2 linked regions of the Ovis aries genome follow. The protein of the gene in region 2 interacts with the protein of the main gene of each other region in a pairwise test. Links are inferred from orthologs where the notes say so. Each region holds a gene or a part of one and is shown on either strand. Other genes may lie near its edges.

Region 1 (9,997 bases), on a different chromosome or scaffold from region 2:
GTGCTGACTGTGGTCAAACTTCTCAGCCCTCTGAGGCTTGGGTCTCCCACCTCCCTCCTCTAGCCAGGCCTTCTGGCCCCCTTGAGCATCTGTGGTGGCCTCTCTACCTACCCCGTTCTCCTGCCCTTCCCATGGCCCAGACATGAGCAGGAGCGGCCCCCTAGAAGGGGCTGATGGGGGAGGGGACCCCAGGCCAGGGGAACCCTTTTGTCCTGGAGGGGGTCCATCCCCTGGGCCTCCAGAGCACCGACCTTGTCCTGGCCCCAGCTTGGCTGATGACACGGATGCCAACAGCAATGGCTCTAGCGGCAATGAGTCAAATGGACCCGAGTCCAGGGGTGCATCTCAGCGGAGTTCGCACAGCTCCTCCTCCGGCAATGGCAAGGACTCAGCCCTGCTGGAGACCACTGAGAGCAGCAAGAGGTGTGTCTGGATGGGTGTGGCAGGTTCTTCGAGTGGTCTCTGGAGCCATCTGAGCTGGGAGACAGGCCCCAGTTGCTGGCCACTTTCTCCTCATCGTGCGCCTGTTGCTTCTCCTTTAGCACGAACTCTCAGAGCCCATCCCCACCCAGCAGTTCCATTGCCTACAGCCTCCTGAGTGCCAGCTCTGAGCCAGACAACCCTTCTACCAGTGGCTGCAGGTTTGTGGGGGGAGGGGGGGAGGACGGGGGCAAAGGGACTGAAGGCCAGGCTCTGGGGCTAATGCCTGTACCCCCTCCCTCCTTGTGGGCCCTGCAGCAGTGAACAGTCAGCTCGGGCAAGGACTCAGAAAGAACTCATGACGGCACTGCGAGAGCTCAAGCTTCGGCTGCCCCCGGAGCGCAGGGGCAAGGGCCGCTCCGGGACTCTGGCCACACTGCAGTATGCGCTGGCCTGTGTCAAGCAGGTGCAAGGTGAGTGGTGCTCCTGGGAGGGTAATGGTCAGGTTCTGGGTGACCGTGGGGAGCTGTCTCCTTGCTAAATGCGCTGCTGCCCACACCCCATAGGGATTCCCTTCTACCTTAATCGCTAAAGTATCTGCTTGCAATGCAGGAGACCTGGGTTCCATCCCTGGGTTGGGAAGATCCCCTGGATCAGGGAATGGCAACCCACTCCAGTATTCTTGCCTGGAAAGTCCCACGGACAGAGGACTGGTGGGCTGCAGTCCATGGGGTTGCAAAGAGTCAGACATGACTGAGGGACTAAACCACCACCCACCCCTGCAGCCAACCAGGAGTTCTACCAGCAATGGAGCCTGGAGGAGGGCGAACCGTGTGCCATGGACATGTCCACCTATACTCTGGAGGAGCTGGAGCACGTCACGTCTGAGTACACACTCCGCAACCAGGTCAGTGCGGCCCGCCCCTGCACCCGACGTGCCCCCAGCCCCACTCCCACAGCTCCTAAACCTGTGCTGATCCTTACTCTCTCGCCTAGGACACCTTCTCCGTGGCTGTCTCCTTCCTGACAGGCCGCATCGTCTACATTTCTGAGCAGGCGGGTGTCCTGCTGCGCTGCAAGCGGGACGTGTTCCGGGGCGTCCGCTTCTCCGAGCTCTTGGCTCCCCAGGATGTGGGCGTCTTCTACGGTTCCACCACCCCATCCCGCCTGCCCACCTGGGGCCCGGGGGCCTCCGCAGGTGAGGTCCCCAAGTGCTCGGGGGAAGATGAGCAGTCCCCGGAAGCAACTGCTGTGAGGGCCCAGGGGACCCAGGCTTTTCCTTGCTGGGTTTTTCTCAGCCCAGGGAGGAGGTGGGGAGCCATACTCACTGCCCTCCTGGTCTGTCTCAGGTTCAGACCTCAAGGACTTCACCCAGGAGAAGTCTGTCTTCTGTCGTATCAGGTCAGTGGGGAACGTGGGAGCAGACCCCTTCCACCTCCCATCCCCCCACTCCTCTTTGCTGGGTCAGCCATGACCTTGAGCTGGAGGGTGGGTGGCTCTTCAATGATCATCTCTAATGCCCCTTTCTCTTCCTTGCTAGAGGGGGTCCTGACCGGGATCCGGGGCCTCGGTACCAGCCATTCCGCCTAACCCCATATGTGACCAAGATCCGGGTCTCCGATGGGGCCCCTGCCCAGCCATGCTGCCTGCTCATTGCAGAGCGCATTCACTCTGGTTATGAAGGTGGGCAGCCCCAGGCCTGACCTGGTTGGGGTAGGAGGAAGGGTGTCTCCTCTAGGCTGGGGGTGAGGCAGAACAGGAGTCTGGGAGACAACTTTGAAACAGGATGAGGGTTTGAACACCCCTTTAGAGGTCGAGTTGGGTAAGAACTCCAAGCTAGGAGAAGGCAAAAAAAAGTGCCTTGGTTTTCAGTTTCATTATTGGCGTGGGGCACAGAAATAGTCCAGACCGTCTCTGGAGGCCAGGGGGCTCAGGGGAGAGCTGTGGAGGGAATCATCTGCCAGCCAGCCTAGGCCTGAGGCAGCACATGGAGGGCCCGGGAACTGGAGCATTCTGCCTGAGATCCAATGGCCACGCCTCCTGTGCCTCAGCTCCCCGGATCCCCCCTGACAAGAGGATCTTCACCACACGGCACACGCCCAGCTGCCTCTTCCAGGATGTGGATGAGAGGTGAGGTCAGGATCTGGAGGAAAAGGAGGTGCCAGGGCCGAGGCTCTGGCCCCTCTGACGCCCCCTCTCCTCTCAGGGCCGCCCCGCTGCTGGGCTACCTCCCCCAGGACCTCCTGGGGGCCCCAGTGCTCCTCTTCCTGCATCCGGAGGACCGACCCCTCATGCTGGCCATCCACAAGAAGAGTGAGTTTCTCTCTTCCTGATTGCACTTCTAGTTGTCTACAGGGCTTCCTTAGGGCTGCCCCTGTGATTGTGTCTCTCAGTGCCTTGATTTTGGGGTTGGGGGGATTCCACCTCACTTAGCTCTCCCTCCCACTGACTTGCACCTTGTTTCCCATGGCCTTCAGTCCTGCAGCTGGCTGGCCAGCCCTTTGACCACTCCCCTATTCGCTTCTGTGCCCGTAATGGGGAGTATGTCACTATGGACACCAGCTGGGCTGGCTTCGTGCACCCCTGGAGCCGCAAGGTGGCCTTTGTGTTGGGCCGCCACAAAGTACGCACGTAAGTGGGCACATAAGTGGATCATGCCCTGGAGGGCCGGCCAGCGTGGAGGGGCCAGGGCTCAACTCCCCTCCCGCACCCCACAGGGCGCCCCTGAATGAAGATGTATTCACTCCCCCGGCCCCCAGCCCCACTCTGTCCCTGGACTCTGACATCCAAGAGCTCTCGGAGCAGATCCACCGGTTGCTGTTACAGGTGAGGGTTGATGGGAGGGGGCTTGGGAGACAAGAAAGGGGGCAGAGCAGGCCTCAGGCCATCTAAGCCATAGTCACTCTCCCTGCCTCAGCCTGTGCACAGCCCCAGCCCCACGGGCCTCTGTGGAGTCGGCCCCGTGCCTTCCTCTGGCCCTCTCCTCAGCCCTGGCTCCTCCAGTGACAGCAACGGGGGTGATGCCGAGGGACCTGGGCCTCCTGCCCCGGTGAGTGGCCCTTGAGTCCCCTGTCCTGTCCCCTTGTCCTCAAGAGTCAGCACTGCCAAGCCCAGGGGAGCGTCGTCCACCTCCTTTCCTTTCTTGTTCTGCTTGCATCGTGACCTCCCCACTGGGGCCTCTCTTGTACTACGCTCTGGGCTCCCGAGGCTGGCCAGGCCCCCCAGTGCTGCCCACTCCCTGCCCTGTCCCACAGGTGACCTTCCAGCAGATCTGTAAGGATGTGCACCTGGTAAAGCATCAGGGGCAGCAGCTTTTTATTGAGTCCCGGGCCCGGCCTCTGACCCGGCCCCGTGTCCCTGGTGAGTCGGCGAGGGTGTGGGTGGGGAGCGAGGCCTGGGGGTCCCCAGACCTTCAGCCTAACCCAGAGGAGTTTCTCTCTCCTTGGTCCAGCTACTGGCACATTCAAGGTCAAGACCCTTCCCTGCCAGTCCCCAGAGCTGGAGGCAGCCCTGGCTCCAATCCAGGCCCCAGTGGCCTTGGCCGCCGAGGAGGCTGAGCGGAAAGAAGCCTCCAGTTGCTCCTACCAGCAGATCAACTGCCTGGACAGCATCCTCAGGTCAGGCCATCCTGGCACCTTCTCTGCCTGGGGCCACGGCCCCGCTCCACCTAGACCTGCCCTCATGTCCTCTGGTGCCTCCTCAGGTACCTGGAGAGCTGCAACCTCCCCGGCACCGCAAAGCGCAAATGTGCGTCCTCCTCTTCCTGCACTGCCTCTTCGGCCTCCGACGACGACAAGCAGCGGGCAGGCCCAGTCTCTGTGGGTGCCAAGAAAGGTGAAGACTCGGGCCTGCTCTGCTCCCGCCGCCCTGTCCTCTGGCCCTGTGCCTCTACATGTCTTTGGGGCCCCCACCTCACTCTGTCCTGTCCCCCTGCCAGCCTCCCCTGTGCCATCCATCTCCTCCGCACCAGGCTTTCCTTTCCCAGCCACCCAGGGGGGCGGGGTGGTAACTGGCACCATCTCTCTGCACAGATCCATCAGCAGTGCTGCCTGGGGAGGGGGCCACCCCTCTGAAGGAGCCGGTGGTGGGAGGAGGAGCCTTGAGCCCGCTCGCCCTGGCCAATAAGGCGGAGAGCGTGGTGTCCGTCACCAGTCAGTGTAGCTTCAGCTCCACCATCGTCCATGTGGGAGACAAGAAGCCCCCGGAGTCGGGTACGGGTGTGGCTGAGGGGCGCAGAAACAGGGCTCCATCTGGTCCCTCAGCCAGAGCTACCTCCTTCCTTGCCTTCTCCTGCCCTCTGGCCCCAAATGGAGAGAAGGAGCCTCCATCTTAGCGTTTCTCACTCTCTGCTCGCCCGCCAGCCTTCGCCGCCTCGTCTGTCCCCCACCTTGCTTCCTGTGTTCTTACTGTCACACACAAAGTCTGGGGTGCAGGGTTCAACCTAAGGTGCTCCCCACAGAGGGGCTGAAGGCAACACTGTTGTAAAACCCTTGAAGGGTCTTTGGGTATTGACCTGGAAAATGCGTGAGGAAAGAGTCGGGATGGGCTTCCCTTCCGAGGAGGGTCATGGGGGTGTCATCCTTGGGTAAGGCCCCTGGAGGGGACCGAATGTCCTTTCTTATTACCCTGAGACACCTTTGCGTGGAGCTCCCCAGAGCCGGTCCTTGGGGGGACGTGGCCAGGATTTGCAGGGGAGGCCTAGGCTTGGCTGCAGGGTGGAGGCCGGGGGTTTGGCTAAGCTGTTGGACGTGGAGGGGTTGGTGCAGGTGTGCTAATTGTGAGGTGCTTCTGACCTTTGCCTCATCTCATCCTCCTCAGACATCATCATGATGGAGGACCTGCCCTCCTTGCCTCCCGGTCCAGCTCCCAGCCCTGCCCCTAGCCCCACAGTAGCCCCTGATCCGGCCCCAGACGCCTACCGCCCAGTGGGCCTGACCAAGGCCGTGCTGTCCCTGCACACACAGAAGGAGGAGCAGGCCTTCCTCAGCCGCTTCCGAGACTTCAGTAGGCTGCGTGGATTGGACAGCTCCTCCACAGCCCCCTCGGCCCCTGGGGAGCGAGGTAACCACCTGGGATACCCCTGAGCCTGCCCAGTCGAGGACCAGAATGTCGGGGGAGGGAGTTCTTGAGGGAGAGGCTTCTGCTCCAGGGACCCAGGCTGTTGCTCCCTCTACCACCAGGGCCCTGCCCAGGGACAGGCCCCTCGCCAGCCTCTCCCCACTAGGGTGGGGGTCTGGGCTGCCGCCCGAGAAGGGCAGCCTGAGGAGCTGCACTCAGAGGCAGGCCAAGGCGCTCAGCTTCCGGTAAGCCGCTCCAGGCCTGGTGTAGGGGCAGGAAGTGTGCCGACTCAGGACTCTGTTGTTGCTGATTGGGAGGTCTATGTAGACTGGCAGGGAGGACCGGGGCAACTTCAGGGGGCAGAGGATCAGCACTTCAGGGCAGCTGGCTGCCCTCCAGGTGCGTGTGGGAGGCTCCCTGAAGGCAGACGTAGGACTCAGGACTGGGCTTTCCTGCCCGCCTCTTCGCTCCGTCATGCGCTAGGCAGAGCATGGCGCGGCTGGCAGTGCCTGCTGGAGTTTGGCCGAGGGGTCGGAGCCACCTGCCCACCCGTCCGTGGGCCTACCCTGCCTCCTCCTGTCTGCCAGCATGCCTCTGTCTCCTGCCCTCCCCCAGCATGACCCCTTATGTGACCTTTCCTTTCTCTGGCTCCTCTGTCCATAAATCCTCCCCTGTCGCTGTAATTCTTCCCTGAGGAATTCTTCCCTCTGTTATGTGTGGGCCGGGGAGCCAGAGGTCCTTCACCTACCCTCTCCCTGGTCAGAGTGGCAGGGCGGTGGGGGCTGCAGGGGCCTAACCACCAGGCTGAGGGCCTTGCTAACCCTCGTTTCTCCCTTCAGGCTGCCACCACAGCCCTGCCACCCCTGGCCGCCGCCACCACTGCCGATCCAAAGCCAAGCGCTCACGTCACCACCAGACAGCTCGGGCCGAAGCCCCTAGCTACATCTCCCAGCCCTCGCCTGTGCCACCCTCTGCCCCCTGGCCCCCACCACCAGCCACTCCTCCCTTCCCAGCTGTGGTCCAGCCATACCCTCTCCCTGTCTTCCCCCCGAGAGGCAGCCCTCAGCCTCTCCCTCCTGCTCCCACGTCTGTGCCTCCTGCAGCTTTCTCTGCCCCCCTGGTGACCCCCATGGTGGCCTTGGTGCTCCCTAACTATCTGTTCCCTACCCCATCTACCTACCCCTACGGGGCACCCCAGACGCCTGCCGAGGGGTCTCCTACCCCTGCCTCCCGCTCCCCATCTCCGTCCCTGCCCCCGCTGCCCCCCAGCCCTCCCCACCGCCCCAACTCTCCGCTCTTCAACTCAAGATGCAGCTCCCCACTCCAGCTAAACCTGCTGCAGCTTGAGGAGCCCCCTCGTGGTGAGGGGGGTGCAGCGGCAGGGGGCTCTGGGAGCAGTGCTGGGCCCCCCCCTCCCAGCGAGGAGACGGTGGAACCAGAGGCCAGACTGGTGAGCTCTGACCCGGTTCCCCCCGCCCCCGTCCTCTTAGGGCCCCCACACAGCTCTCACCACCTGGTCCTCCCCTCTCACGCTTCCTCCTGCCCTCCTGGTTGTCCCCAGAGGATGGGGTCATGGGGTGGGAGACCCCAGCTGAGTTTCTCAACAAGGCAGAAATCAGCTGCCTCATCTGTGAAGTGGGGACAGTCCTGTCTGTCTGACAGGTGGTGAGGACATCCCCATAAACTTCTGAGAGTACGTCTGCCACTTGGAAGGGGTCCAGCGTCACATCCCTCCTCTTCGCCAGTTCTCCTCTCACTCAGCCTGAGCCCATTGTCGTGGAGTGGGAAGAGACCACTTGGGCTGGGTGTGCCCCCAACCAGTGGCAGCAGTAGAAGGGAAGCCTAGGTGTTGATTCCTTAATCCCTCCCTGTCCCCCTTGCCTCCCCTCCTTCAGGCGGAGGTAACTGAGTCCTCCAACCAGGACGCTCTCTCGGGCTCCAGTGACCTGCTGGAGTTGCTGCTACAAGAGGACTCTCGATCTGGCACGGGCTCTGCTGCCTCAGGCTCCTTGGCCTCCGGCTTGGGCTCTGGTTCAGGCTCCCATGAGGGGGGCAGCACTTCCGCCAGCATCACGCGTGAGTGCCGCCCCCCCCCCCAATACTTTCCAGGGTAGGACAGTGTCTAGGGAGTTGGAAAGCCAGGCCGCACCTTGGCTGAGTAGCCTGGGTCCACGCCCTGCTTTCTAAGGCCAGTGGGCTGGACCTACAACCTTGAGTGAGGCCTGGTGGAGCACCTGCTGGCCTGACTGTTGGCTGCCTGCTTCTCACTCTACAGGCAGCAGTCAGAGCAGCCACACGAGCAAGTACTTTGGCAGCATCGATTCTTCAGAGGCTGAGGCTGGGGCTGCCCAGGCCAGGGCTGAGCCTGGGGACCAGGTCATTAAGTACGTGCTCCAGGATCCCATCTGGCTGCTCATGGCCAATGCTGACCAGCGTGTCATGATGACTTATCAGGTGCCCTCCAGGTGAGGACTTTGGGAGCACTCCTTGCCTCCCCTTCAGAGGAATGGGGAGGCTGCCCCCCCTCACTCCCTAGCTAACTTGGGTTTTTCTTTCTTGGCCTGGCTCTGCCCTGGGGCATTCCTGTTCTGTCTCCTGCCCCTTGGAGCCCCAGCAATAGTCAGGCTGAGAGCAGCTTTCCTGGTTTTGGGAAGGCCTGAACTCTCAGAACACGTTTCTGGGGAGAAGCATGAGGCACAGAGTGGGACGCTGCGATAGAAGAAAAGTGCCAGTCCTCCTTGTGGGCCCTGGCCCCAGCTCCCATTCTCTGCCTCCTGAACTTCTTCCCGGAGCAGGGACATGGCCTCTGTGCTGAAGCAGGACCGGGAGCGGCTCCGGGCCATGCAGAAGCAGCAGCCTCGGTTCTCGGAGGACCAGCGGAGGGAACTGGGTGCTGTGCACTCCTGGGTCCGGAAAGGTCAACTCCCTCGGGCCCTTGATGTGATGGTGAGAGAAGTCCACGCTAGGAGGGTGAAGAAGGAATTGAGCTCAAGTTGAAAGGACAGAGGGCTGATCCCTTCACTGTTCTTGGATCATTAATTCTGAAGGATGTTAATTCCACTGAGCTTGCTGTTGGGTTATTTAGTGTTAAACCATGTGAATTTTGTGGACCTTTTCTGGGCCAGTACTGTACTAATGTACATTGTGGCTGTCCTGCTGTGGGGTCTGGAGACAGGATGCGATGCATTTTCCAATATTGTTGACCCCACGTGCATCCGCCTGAATCAGTATTTCCTAGGCATACAGTTTGGAAAGTACTCTGGGGCTTGGGGACAAGGGGAGCTGGGTTGGCAGGTCAGCACTGAGAATCTGCCTGACTCACGCATACCCTTTCTTCCTCCAAGGCCTGTGTGGACTGCGGTAGCAGCACCCAAGAGCCTGGCCATCCTGATGACCCTCTCTTCTCGGAAGTGGATGGACTGGGGCTGGAGCCCATGGAGGAGGGCGGAGGCGAGGGTGGTGGCGGTGGTGGTGAGGGTGAGGGCAGCAGTGGGGCCCAGGCCCAAGCTGGGGCCAGGGTCTCGAGCTCTCAGGACCTGGCCATGGAAGAGGAGGAGCAAGGTGGGAGCTCACCCAGTCCAGCCTTACCTGCCACAGAAAATGGCACCAGCTAGACTCCGTCTTGGGCCACCTCCAGATGTGCACGAGAAGCTTCCTTCTCTCATGCCCCAACTCTCAGAACTCAGATGTGGCTGGACCAACCAATAAGAGAACTGCCCCAGCTTCTCCTGCTGTGGGGGGGTGGGGCCCCGTCACCAGCCCAGGACCAGGGGCTGCCTCTGGCCTCTTTGGGAATAGGGTGGCATTCTTCAGCCCAGCCCAGCCCAGAGAAGCCTCCCATCACATCCCCGGTGAGGAGTCATTCCTCTTCCTGGACAAGATTGCTGACAAGCTGCTGAAGTGGTCTCTCCAAGTCCCAGCTGAGCTGGAGTTCCTGTCCCTGGGGATTGGGGCTGCATTTATTTATTGGGGGAGTCAGTCCTCTCCCCCACCTCCTCCCCGGATGAGGGCAGGAGGAGGGTGTGAGGCCCAAGCAGGACCCTGCGGTCCAAACCCCTAGCTGCTCCAGGGTGGGGGAGGTTGGTGGACCATGGAGTCCCTGGTGCTGCCCCTCAAGTGGGACCCAGGTGTTCTCAGCTGTACCCTCTACCAATGGCATTTGTGTTTTTGATATCGTGTCTGTTATTTTTAATACAAAAAGGAAAAAAATACCAGGTCTTTGTGAAATGAAGTTTGAGGGCTGGGTTGCCCCCGGCCCCGGGGGGTAGAGGAGGGAGGCTCTTTCCCTCCCCTTCCCGGAAAGTAGTAGTGAGAATGAGTTATTGCCTCCCCTGATGACCTATATAATCTCCCCACACCCTTTCCCAATGAGAAGGCAGGTCTAGGTGGCTAAGACACGGAGTCCCACAGTCATTCATAGTCTAGTTGGGAAGCGGTGTGGGAGAGGGGAAGCTGGTGCAGAGTGTTAATGCTCTGGCTCAGAAGTTGGAAAGGGGGAAAACTTGGAAAGGATAAGTGA
Region 2 (11,160 bases):
TTTACTATTGCATCAAAAAGAATAAAATACCTAGGACTAAACTGACTTAAGGGGGCAAAAGACATGTACTCCAAAAACTATAAGATGCTGATGAAAGAAATCAAAGATGACACCAACAGATGGAAAGATGTACTGTATTCTTGGGTTGAAAGAATCAACACTGTCAAAACAACTATATTACCCAAGGCTCTCTACAGATTCAGTGCAATCCCTATCAAATTACTAATAGCATTTATCACAGAACTAGAATAAAAATTTTTACATTTGTATGGAAACAAAAAGACCATGAAGTACATCTTTCCATCTGTTTGTGTCATCAAAACTATGTTGAATAAAGGTGGTGAGAGTGAACATACTTGTTTTGTTCCTAATCTTAGAGGAAAAGCAGCTTTTTACCACTGAGTATGCTAGAGGGACAGGGAGGCCTGACGTGCTGCAGTCCATGGGGTCGCAAAGAATCAGACAAGACTGGGCAACTGAACAACAGCAGCAACATGCTAGCTGTGAGTTTGTTATATACGGCCTTTAGTATGCTGAGGTATGTTCCTTCTATGCCCACTTTCTGGGGGATTTTATTATAAATGGATGTTGAATTTTATCAAAAGCCTTCTTCTGCGTCTTCTGATATGGTTTTTATTCTTCAATTTGTTGATGGGGTGTATCATACTGATTGATTTGTGGATATTGAAAAATCCATGCATCACTGAATAAATTCCGCTTGATCATGGCGTATGACCCTTTTAATGTTTTGTTGGATTCAGTTTAATAATCTTTTGTTGTTGATTTTTCCATCTATGTTCATCAGTGATATTGGCCTGTAATTGTCTTTTTTTTCTTTTTTTTTTTTCTTTTGTGGTGCCTTTTTCTGATTGGTATTAGGGTGATGGTGACTTCACAGAATGAGTGAAGCCATTCACACAATGAGTGAAGAAGTGTTTCTTCCAGATTTTTGGATTTGTTTCAGAAAGATAAGTGTTAACTCTTCTCTGAATGTTGGACAGAATTTGCCTGTGAAGCCATCTGGTCCTGGACTTTTGTTTATTGGGAGTTATTTAATCAACGACTGAATTTCAGTACTTATAACTTGTCTGCTTGTACTTTCTATTTCTTCCTGGTTCAGCCTTGGGAGATTCGCACCTTACTAAGAATTTGCTAATTTCTTCTAGGCTGTTCATTTTATTGGCATATAGTTGCTTGTAGTAATCTCTTACAGTCTTTTGTACTTTTGTGGGGTAATATATCCTTTTTCATTTCTAACTTTACTGATTTGAGCCCTCTCCCTTTTTTTCTTGATGAGTCTGGTTTGTTACTGTTTTGTCGCTCAGTCATGTCCGACTCTTTGCAACCCATGGATTGCACCACACCAGGCTTGCTCAAACTCATGTCCATTGAGTTGGTGATACCACCCAACCATCTCATCCTCTGTCACTCCCTTCTCCTCTAGCCCCCAATCTTTCCCAGCATCAGGGTCAGCTCTTCACATCATATAGCTAAAGTACTGAAGCTTCGGCTTCAGCATCAGTCCTTCTAATTAACAGTCAGGGTTGATTTCCTTTAGGATTGACTGCTTGATCTCCTTGCAGTCCAAGGGATTCTGAAGAGTCTTCTCCTGCACCACAGTTCAAAAGCATCAATTCTTCAGCACTCAGCCTTCTTTATGGTCCAAATCTCACACCTGTACATGACTACTGAAAGACCCATAGTTTTGACTATATGGACCTCTGTCAGCAAAGTGATGTCTCTGCTTTTTAATATACTGTGAATCTGGCTAAATGTTCATTAATTTTGTTTATCTTTTCAAAGAACTACCTTTTAGCTTCATTGATCTTTTTATTGTTTTCTTGGTCTCTATTTCATTTATTTCTGGTCTTTACGATTTTATTACTTCTGCGAACTTTGGGTTTTGCTTGTTCTTCTTTCAGTTGCCTTAGAAAGAACCCATTTTAAATGAAAATTACAGCAACATCAAAAGGTAATTTTGTTAATTTTCTTATGCAAAATAGATTTTTGAGATTTGTTTTTCTGTTAAATCCAAAAATCTAGGAAATTTTGTTAATTAAGGAAATAGTACAAAGGAAAGAAGACCAAAACCCACAAGACAGCCTGAATGCCAAGTTAAGGAGTTTGCACCTTATTCTATGGTCAATAAGTAAGGTAGCAAAGTTGTTTAAACATAAAACTATTGACTCCAGGATGTCATTTCATTAACAAACAGTAACTGAGTTACCACTATATGAAAGCACTGAATCTGATGCTGAGAGAAAAGTCTAAAACTCTGTCCCTCCTTTTTATATAGTCATCAGTGGAAGAAAGTCTGTCTCTACTCATTATTTACATCTTTACCTATCTATTATTCATCAAGGGCAATATTTAGTAGTAAAAAAAAAAATCCTTTTTAAAAGGAAAATATGAGATTCCTATCAGTTCAGTCCAGTCGCTCAGTTGTGTCCGACTCTTTGCAGCCCCATCGACTGCAGCATGCCAGGCCTCCCTGTCCATCACCAACTCCCAGAGTTTACCCAAACTCGTGTCCATTGAGTCGGTGATGCCATTCAACTGTCTCATCCTCTGTCATCCCCTTCTCCTCCCGCCTTCAATCTTTCCCAGCATCAGGGTCTTTTCCAATGAGTCAGTTCTTCACATCAGATGGCCAAAGTATTGGAGTTTCAACTTCAGCATCAGTCCTTCCAATGAATATTCAGGACTGATTTCCTTTAGGATGGACTGGCTGGATCTCCTTGTTATTCAAGGGATTCCTATACTTATCAGTTTTAGTCTTAAAATGCTAAAACTGTAGGCATTTAAGTAGATACTATTTACCTAGGACTTTCAATTTAAGAGCAAACAGCAAATAAGCACTTCCTAGTATGACTTAGTAGTAGCAGTAGTAGCACCACTCACATTTTAAGCATTTCACATCTTTTAACTAATTTAATTCTCCTAACAATATTATGAAGAGAGACTTATTACTATATTATTGTTAAGATATGAATAGATTAGAATATATAACATGCATTATCTTTTTCCAGAATCAATGACACCAATTCTGCTAATGAAAATGTTTTATATACAGTTGCTGTATTATTCTCATGAGCACACAAATATCCTGTAATTTCTCTCATCTTTAAAAAAAAAAAAATCTTCTCTTGAGTTCACCTTCTTCTACACCATTTCTCTGATTCCCCCCCAATGGAAAACTTAAAAGAGCTATCTATGTGAGTTATCCCCACCTTCTCTCCTCTCAGCCTCTCTCAAGCCAGTCCAAAAAGGCTTTTGCCCCTGACACTACTGAAACCACTTTAATCAAGATTATGATCTCAAAATGCTAAATATGATTCTTAATTTTCAGTCCTCATCTCACACGACGAGCAACCTGACAAAGGTCAAACATTTTCTTTGAGCCACTGTCCTTTTTTCCTTGGCTTCTATGACACCATTATCTTCAGGTTTTCTTAGCTTACCAGATGTTCTTTCTCAAACTCCTATGCTACTTCTTCCACACGTCCACAATTTAAATACATTCAAGTACCCAGGCTCAGTTCTTTTCTATCTGTATAAATTCACATAATGTTTTCATATAGTCTCACAGCTCTACTAGAATGTATCTTCAACACTGCAGAGATATTTTAGCTATTCTGTTTAATGTCCTGCACCTAAAAGTGTCTAGCACATAGTAGATCCATACAATATATTTGGTCAATATATGAATGGATTAATAGTTTTAAATGTTATCTATAAAGTGATGAATCTCTAATTTATACCTCCTGCCAGGATCTCTAACCTTAACTCTAGACATATCTATCTGCTATCTCCACTTGGATGCATAATAAACATCTCATACTAACCAAGTTCAAAAGAAAACTCAAAGCACCCTCTCAATGGCTTCTTCAACTGACCACTTAGTAAAGATCAGTTCCACCCTTCTAGATTCTCAAATCAAATTTTGAAATTATTCCTAATTCCTTTTCTCTCACACCACATCTGTCAATAAATACTGTGAATTCTGCCTTCAAAATACACTCAGCACTTGACTTCTTCTCCCTATGTCCACCACAATCACTATGGTCCAAGTTATTATCATATCTCACCTGGATTAATGCAATTGACTCCTAACCTGTCTTATTGCTTCTTGTCCACCTCCACCCCACAATTTGGGTCTGTTCTCAGAACCACGGCCAGAGAAGTTTAAAAAAAAAAAAAACACACCTTCAGTCAAATCACATCACTTTTCTGCTCATAATCTTAGAATTATTCCTATTTTCATCTAAGTAAAGGCCCAAATCTTGACAACTGCCTATAAAGCTCTACTCAGTCTGGCCCTATTACATCTCTGACCTCATACACTACTATTCCTCTCACTCTGTTCCAGTCACATTGGCTTCTTCTGCTGTTCCTTCCAAAGGTTAAGCATATTCCACCTCAGGCCCTTTTTCTTAGTTCTTTCTCCCTGGAATGCTTTTCCCTAGATATCTGTAATCTACTTGTTTCATCATCTTGCTCAACTGTCCCTTTCTCTGAGTTTTTCCCTATCACCATATTTTAAACTCCCAATTCCAATCCCACTCCCTTGTACACATAAAAGCTGTATTTCCGCACATCATTTATCATCTACTACATTACTACATACTTTCTGGGACATGTGCTAGAAAAGGACAAGAATTTCTATTTGTTTCATTCACTACTGTATCCCTGGTGTTTAAAGCTGTGGCTGTAAGTGATTGTGAGTGAAATCGCTCAGTCGTGTCAGACTCTTTGAGACCCCAAAGACTATACAGTCCATGGATTTCTCCGGGCCATTATACTGGAGTGCGTAGCCTTTCCCCTTGCCAGGGGATCTTCCCAATCCAGGGATAGAACCCAGGTCTCCCGCTTTGCAGGGGGATTTTTTTTTTACCAGCTGAGCCACAAGGGAAGCCCTGGTATACAGCAGGTGATCAATACTCTGCTGAAAGAATGCTTTCATTTCCACCACGGGGCCTAATAATCATCTGGCCTGGCATGTCAGGAAAAGATCATAAAGCTTCTCTAAGATTTCTTCCAGTGCTCTAAATCCTGGAAGGATTATACTTTGCCTAGAAAGAAAAACTGTGCTTTGTCTATTCAACCACAAGGAGGAGTTGAGAGGAAGAACTGAGCAAAGAAATGTCCCTTGCTTTTCCTCTGGCAACCTCAAGGTGGAAGAAAACTAGATTTGGAGGGGACTCTACTGAATGAATGATTTTCTCCATACTATGAGTTAACACACAAACGTAAACACTAAAGACCGCAACCCCAAATGCCACAGAGGCCAAGGAAATCAACACACGGGCCATTGAGAACTGGAAGGGTGTTTCTTTAACTCCACCACTAAGAATTCTCCATAAATCCAGGGGAAGAATTCCTACGAGCGCAGAGACACGTAACTCACACCTGAAGGCCAAGGTGTTTCAGGCTGCCGGAACTCTCTCGCCTCAAGGCTATTAAGTCCGTTCTATTTAATACTTAAAGCACCTGCAATAATTCAAACAGTACGGGCAAGGCGGTGCAAGATTTCAATTCTCAGGTCTGGCTGATGGCATGTAAAGTCTTGATTCATTAAACAGCGAAATCAATTTCCCACAGGATTTTGACTCACCGCCACCTGTTGATCCCCACGTTGGAGGAGCCGGCGAACCAGGGGTCGAGGATGTAGACGCAGCGGATGGTGTCGGCGCCCTGGATGCACTCCTTCAGGGCGGGGTTGTCGTGAAGCCGGAGCCCCTTTCGGAACCAGTGCACGGCGTTCACCCCCATCCCGGGGGCTGGGGGCGGGGGGGGGGGCGTGCCGCGGTGCGGCGCCGCCGAGCTCCTCCGCCGAGAAATTCAGGGTGGGAGGGTCCGGCTCATAACCGACAACTCCGAACGCAGGAGAATCGCCGCACCCAAGGAGTGAGGAAAGCAGAGGAGGGGAAGGAAAAGATGAGTCCGAGGAAGGGACTGAAGAGGGAGAGGGCGCTGGCGGCGCAGCTGGAAGATGAATGGAGGTTGCCCAGTCAGCGGAGTCCCGGTGTGACGCCCTTTAGGGGCCGGCACCCGCCGCCACAGACTGGAAAAGACGCATAACTTCGAGGTCCCCGGACCTCTGGAGGCTGACCAAGTTCCACAAGCCCGAGACTCCACCACGGCCCGCGCGGGCGCGGGCAGCCCCAAGAGGTTCTCTGCACGGAAACCTCGCCCACCGAGGCGGCCCCCGAGGAGCAGACGGCCCCGCCTGAGGCGAGCCACCGACAAGGATGAGAGAGAATTCAGTCACTGTCGGCCACGCTGCCTCTCGGCCCGGGTAAGAGAAGTGAGGACAGAGCACGCAAGGCGGTGGTCGAGGCCGCTGGACCGCTGCCGGCCGGTGACCCGTCCCGAGGCTGCCCGGGTGACTCCGCCGCCACCGCCGCGTCAGCGGCTTCAGCCCCGCCTTCGGCTCCTCATTGGAGGGCGCACTCCTCACGTGACCACCGGCACCTCACGTTTCTGAAGTGTGTTTACTACAGCGGCTCCGACTGGGGTATCAGCTTGCACTTCAGTCGCTTCTAGGAGGCGGCAGCTGCTCCATGTCAAATCCATCGGTCCTCTCCCAGACGCTAGACACTTTGCCTCTGTCCCTTTTCTCGGCCAACAAATCGCGGTTGCCTGAAAGCGCCCAGAGTGAGCCGAGGCCCCATGTGAGGGAAAATTTAGCCCCGCCCTCGGGGGCTGTGAACGTCCACCATTGGCTGAGACTCGCTGAGACCCGGATGAGCACGGGGCTGCGGGGAGCTAGAGAGCTCGCGCTCTGCCCGTGAGGGCGCGCGTGCGCTCTCGCTGCGTTTCGGAGTCAAGGAGGGCGGGGCCGGCGATCCGGAGCCCGCTAGGGGATTCCTCCCGCGGAGTTCGCGGAAGGCGTGGAGACATCGCGGTGTCTTCCAGGAGTCGGAACGAGGATCCGGCGGGGAATGAGTGAGGGCAGGATGGAGTGGAAAGAGCAGAGTAGGAGGCTCCACATCGACTTAGAGCCCAAAACATGTGTTTCCATCCAGCTTTAGCTGGAGAACCCAACCCTACTTTGGAGTGTATAGAGCTGGCTCCCTTCTCATTCTTGTGCCCCTAGCGTTACTGGATCCTTGTATGAGCTCTGGGGAAGAGGATTAATTCGGAGGGTGGTGCCAGGCATCCCTGGAACTCCTTAATAGTATCTCTGTGTTGTCAACATGTCAGCCTTCCTTTCTTACACCTAGTGCGGTTTACAGGGCTCTTTGCGATGGGACTTTGCCTACCCCTCTAAGGACAATGAACTTCAGGCCTTGCTGTTCCTTGATTTAGTCACTAAGTCGTGTCCAACTTTTGCGACCCCATGGACTGTAGCCTGCCAGGCTCCTCTGTACATGGGATTCTCCAGACAAGGAGTGGGTTGCCGTTTCCTTCTCCAGGGGATCTTTCCCACGCAGGAATCGAACCTGGGTCTTTTGCATTGCAGGCAGGTTATTTAGGGACTGAACTACAAGGGAATCGCTGTTCCTTAGGCATGCAATAACTTTAAGTTCATTCAACAATCACTTATTGAATGAAACTGGCACTATTTAAAGTACTGGAGGTACACAGAGAGAGGAAGAGAAAAGCCCTCTTGAAGTTCACGATGTGTCTCCTAACCTTTATATGTGCTGTTTTTCGCTCTGTAAATGCTGTTTAGAATCTGCCGCTCACTACAACACCTTTGAGCTAGGGAATATATTTCGACACAGTCAAATGTTTATTGAATGAAAGAGTGAATGAATTAATTGTTTGTCACCAGTGTGTTTCACAAGGCTAGAAGGAGGAAAGATATGGCAATTATTACAAACCAAGTTGTGTACCTCTAAAAGTCATGTAACCCCTAGTACCTGTGAATTTGACCTGACTTGGAAATAAGATCGTTGCAGATGATGAAATTAAGATGAGGTCATTCGGGGACCAAATCCAATGACTAGTGTCCTTATAAAAGGGGAAATTTGGGTGCAGACAGCAGTCTCATACTCAGGAGAGAAGGCCTTATGGAAATTGGACTTCAGTTCAGTCAGTTCAGTCGCTCAATCGTGTCCGACTCTTTGCGACCCCATGAATCGCAGCACACCAGGCCTCCCTGTCCATCACCAACTCCCAGAGCTTACTCAAACTCATGTCCATCAAGTCAGTGATGCCATCCAGCCATCTCATCCTCGGTCGTCCCCTTCTCCTCCTGCCCCCAGTCCCTCCCAGCATCAGAGTCTTTTCCAATGAGTCAACTCTTCACATGAGGTGGCCAAAGGACTGGAGTTTCAGCTTTAGCATCAGTCCTTCCAAAGAACACCCAGGACTGATCTCGTTTAGGATGGACTGGTTGGATCTCCTTGCAGTCCAAGGAACTCTTAAGAGTCTGCTCCAACACCACAGTTCAAAAGCATCAATTCTTCGACGCTCAGCTTTCTTCACAGTCCAACTCTCACATCCATACATGACCACTGGAAAAACCATAGCCTTGACTAGACGGACCTTAGTCGGCAAAGTAATGTCTCTGCTTTTGAATATGCTATCTAGGTTGGTCATAACTTTCCTTCCAAGGAGTAAGCGTCTTTTAATTCCATGGCTGCAATCACCATCTGCAGTGATTTTGGAGCCCCCCAAAATAAAGTCTGACACTGATTCCACTGTTTTCCCATCTATTTCCCATGAAGTAATGGGACCAGATGCCGTGATCTTAGTTTGGCTGCCATAAACTAAGGACCTACTCGAAACTAGGAGAGTAGCCTGGAACAGATCCTTCCCTAGTGTCTTCAGAGGGAGAATGGCCCTGCCAACGTTTTGATTTCAGACTTCCAGCCTCCAGAACTGTGAGACAATAAATTCCTGCTGTTTTAAGCCACTCATTTTGGGGTACATTGCCACTGCAGCTCTAGCAAACTAATACAGCAGCAAAATAAGTTTCATCGTTTAGTGAGCCAGTATGTCTGGATGTCTTTCCTAACCCTGCTTTCGTTGCCATAGGAAGGACATAGCATCCTCTCTTCAATTTGCTAAGAACATTGAAAATTATATAGTATGTGAAAGCCTGTTGTTCACTATGAAGCATTAAACAGTTATTTTTATGAGGGTGAGCCTTGATTAATTACCACTCCAAGGGGCCGATCGCTTTTGTAGAGGATGTGGCAGACAGAGCTGTGCCTTCACTTGGATTGTCTCATACTCCAGGGCCTAACATACTTTTAAAAATACAATGTTTCATGTTTCATTTTAGGCAGTTTGAAAATAAGCAGAGTATGTCTAAAGATATAAGTATTTTCAAGCAGCCAAATGAAACAGTGGAAGATAGAATATTGATTTGTGTGGAATTGGTTTATGTTTGCCAACTGTCCATTCAATAAAGATGGATCTTTTAAACAGACAGCTATATGTGGGTATGTGTGTAACTTTCATTTACACATGAAAGTAGTAAATTATGAAAATGTCAGTACTGTCAACCATGCATTCCTCAAAGAGTGTGGGGTTTTTATAGCATGGCATCTGGTCCCTTCTATTGTCATGGCAAATAGAAGAGGAAAAACTGGAAGCAGTGACATTTTATTTTCTTGGGCTCCAAAATCACTGCAGATGGTGACAGCAACCATGAAATTAAAAGACACTTGCTCCTTGGAAGAAAAGCTATGACAAACGTAGACAATATATTAAAAAGCAGAGACATCAGTTTGCTGACAAAAAGCCATATAGTCAAAGCTATGGTTTTTCCAGCAGTCATGTACAAATGTGAGAGTTAGACCATAAAGAAGGCTGAGCACCAAAGAATTGATGTTTTTGAATTGTGGTGCTGGAGAAGACCCTCAAGATGCCCTTGGACTACAAGGAGCTCAGTCAATCCTAAAAGAAATCAACCCTGAATATTCACTGGAAGGACTGATGCTGAAGCTGAAACTCCAGTAATTTGGCCACCTGATGTGGAGAGCTGACTCATTGGAAAAGACCTTGATGCTGGGAAAGATTGAAGGCAATAGAAGGGGGCTGCAGAGGATGAGATGGTTAAATATTATCACCAACTCAATTGACATGAGTTTGAGCAAACTCTGGGAGATAGTGAAGGACAGGGAAGCCTGGCATGCTGCAGTCTATGAGGTTACAAAGAATTGGACACAACTTAGCAACTGAACAACAAGATTATTACTTTAATATGTTTTGCAACAATTTAATAAACGGTGATTTTGAGGTGGAGAGTTATGGGTGGGAGTGGGGTTCAAGAGGGAGAGATTATATATATATATACAGCTGACTCACTTTGTTGTACTTCAGAAACTAACCCAACATTGTAAAGCAATTATACTTCAATAAAATAAAGCTGTGACTTATTGAGCATCTACTATACTCCAGGTACTTTATGCAGGTTATTATTAATCCAGTAAGGCCACTTATTATTATTTAATAATAGTTTATGCTTACTGTGCAGATGAAGATGCTAAAGCTCAAATACAAATAAGTAGTAAAACCAGATGAAAAACTACGACTATTTCTGAACCCAAAGCTCTTTGCTTATCACATACTATCCCTCACTGATAACACCTCTCCCTTTCTTTTTCAGATTGAGTGTTTATGTGTAAGGAAAAGAAGGTATGGGTAACATTTTCAGGAATCTCTTGTGAAGTTCTGGTTGGTTCCAACTTCCTGGTGGTTGAACAAGTATGGGACTAACAAGGAAAATGCTGGGTTATATCTCAGCTTGCAGTTAATTAGTTGTTGCTCTTGAGCAAGTCATTAGGGTTTTCCTGACCAGCTTAATTCATATGTAAAATGGGGGGTTTTAACTGGATGATTTCTAAATTTTCTATACTGTTTTAAAATTCTAAGATTCTATAAGCACAACCCTACCTTGGGCTCAAAAATATCTATAAGGAGTCCTATTAAATGTTCTTTTAACTGCCAACAGTGTTAGAAAAATCAGTATCTCTTTGACTTCATGAGCACTCTTGATAAAACTGCATCAGCCTCTAAACTGAAAGCTTGTGTTCTTCTTTGACCCCATCTTCTAGATGTGATTCTGGGCATGTGTTATCAACACACAAATAATGAAGTAGAGGAAAGTGTGATCAGATCATTCAGTCTTGATGTGTTGTGAATATTAGGCTGGTGGCCCCAGGCTGAGTGAACCTCAGCACTAGACTCTTTGAATTTAAA

Evidence for each region.
Region 1: the proteins of CRY1 (region 2) and PER1 interact in binary tests that used the Homo sapiens proteins (3 or more experiments, as listed by UniProt). The link is inferred for Ovis aries from reciprocal best matches to the Homo sapiens genes CRY1 and PER1.

What each region holds. Positions count from the first base shown.
Region 1 is NC_056064.1:27,595,127-27,605,123, reverse strand, and holds the end of PER1 (period circadian protein homolog 1), read left to right. Parts: 5' UTR 1-142; coding exon 143-423; intron 424-542; coding exon 543-641; intron 642-738; coding exon 739-893; intron 894-1,205; coding exon 1,206-1,327; intron 1,328-1,416; coding exon 1,417-1,618; intron 1,619-1,769; coding exon 1,770-1,821; intron 1,822-1,960; coding exon 1,961-2,103; intron 2,104-2,471; coding exon 2,472-2,550; intron 2,551-2,626; coding exon 2,627-2,733; intron 2,734-2,897; coding exon 2,898-3,051; intron 3,052-3,137; coding exon 3,138-3,246; intron 3,247-3,337; coding exon 3,338-3,469; intron 3,470-3,674; coding exon 3,675-3,780; intron 3,781-3,871; coding exon 3,872-4,037; intron 4,038-4,123; coding exon 4,124-4,254; intron 4,255-4,451; coding exon 4,452-4,631; intron 4,632-5,238; coding exon 5,239-5,481; intron 5,482-6,317; coding exon 6,318-6,928; intron 6,929-7,373; coding exon 7,374-7,554; intron 7,555-7,753; coding exon 7,754-7,943; and 6 more. UniProt on the Homo sapiens protein: Transcriptional repressor which forms a core component of the circadian clock.
Region 2 is NC_056056.1:175,961,282-175,972,441, forward strand, and holds the start of CRY1 (cryptochrome-1), read right to left. Parts: upstream 5,773-11,160; coding exon 5,615-5,772; intron 1-5,614.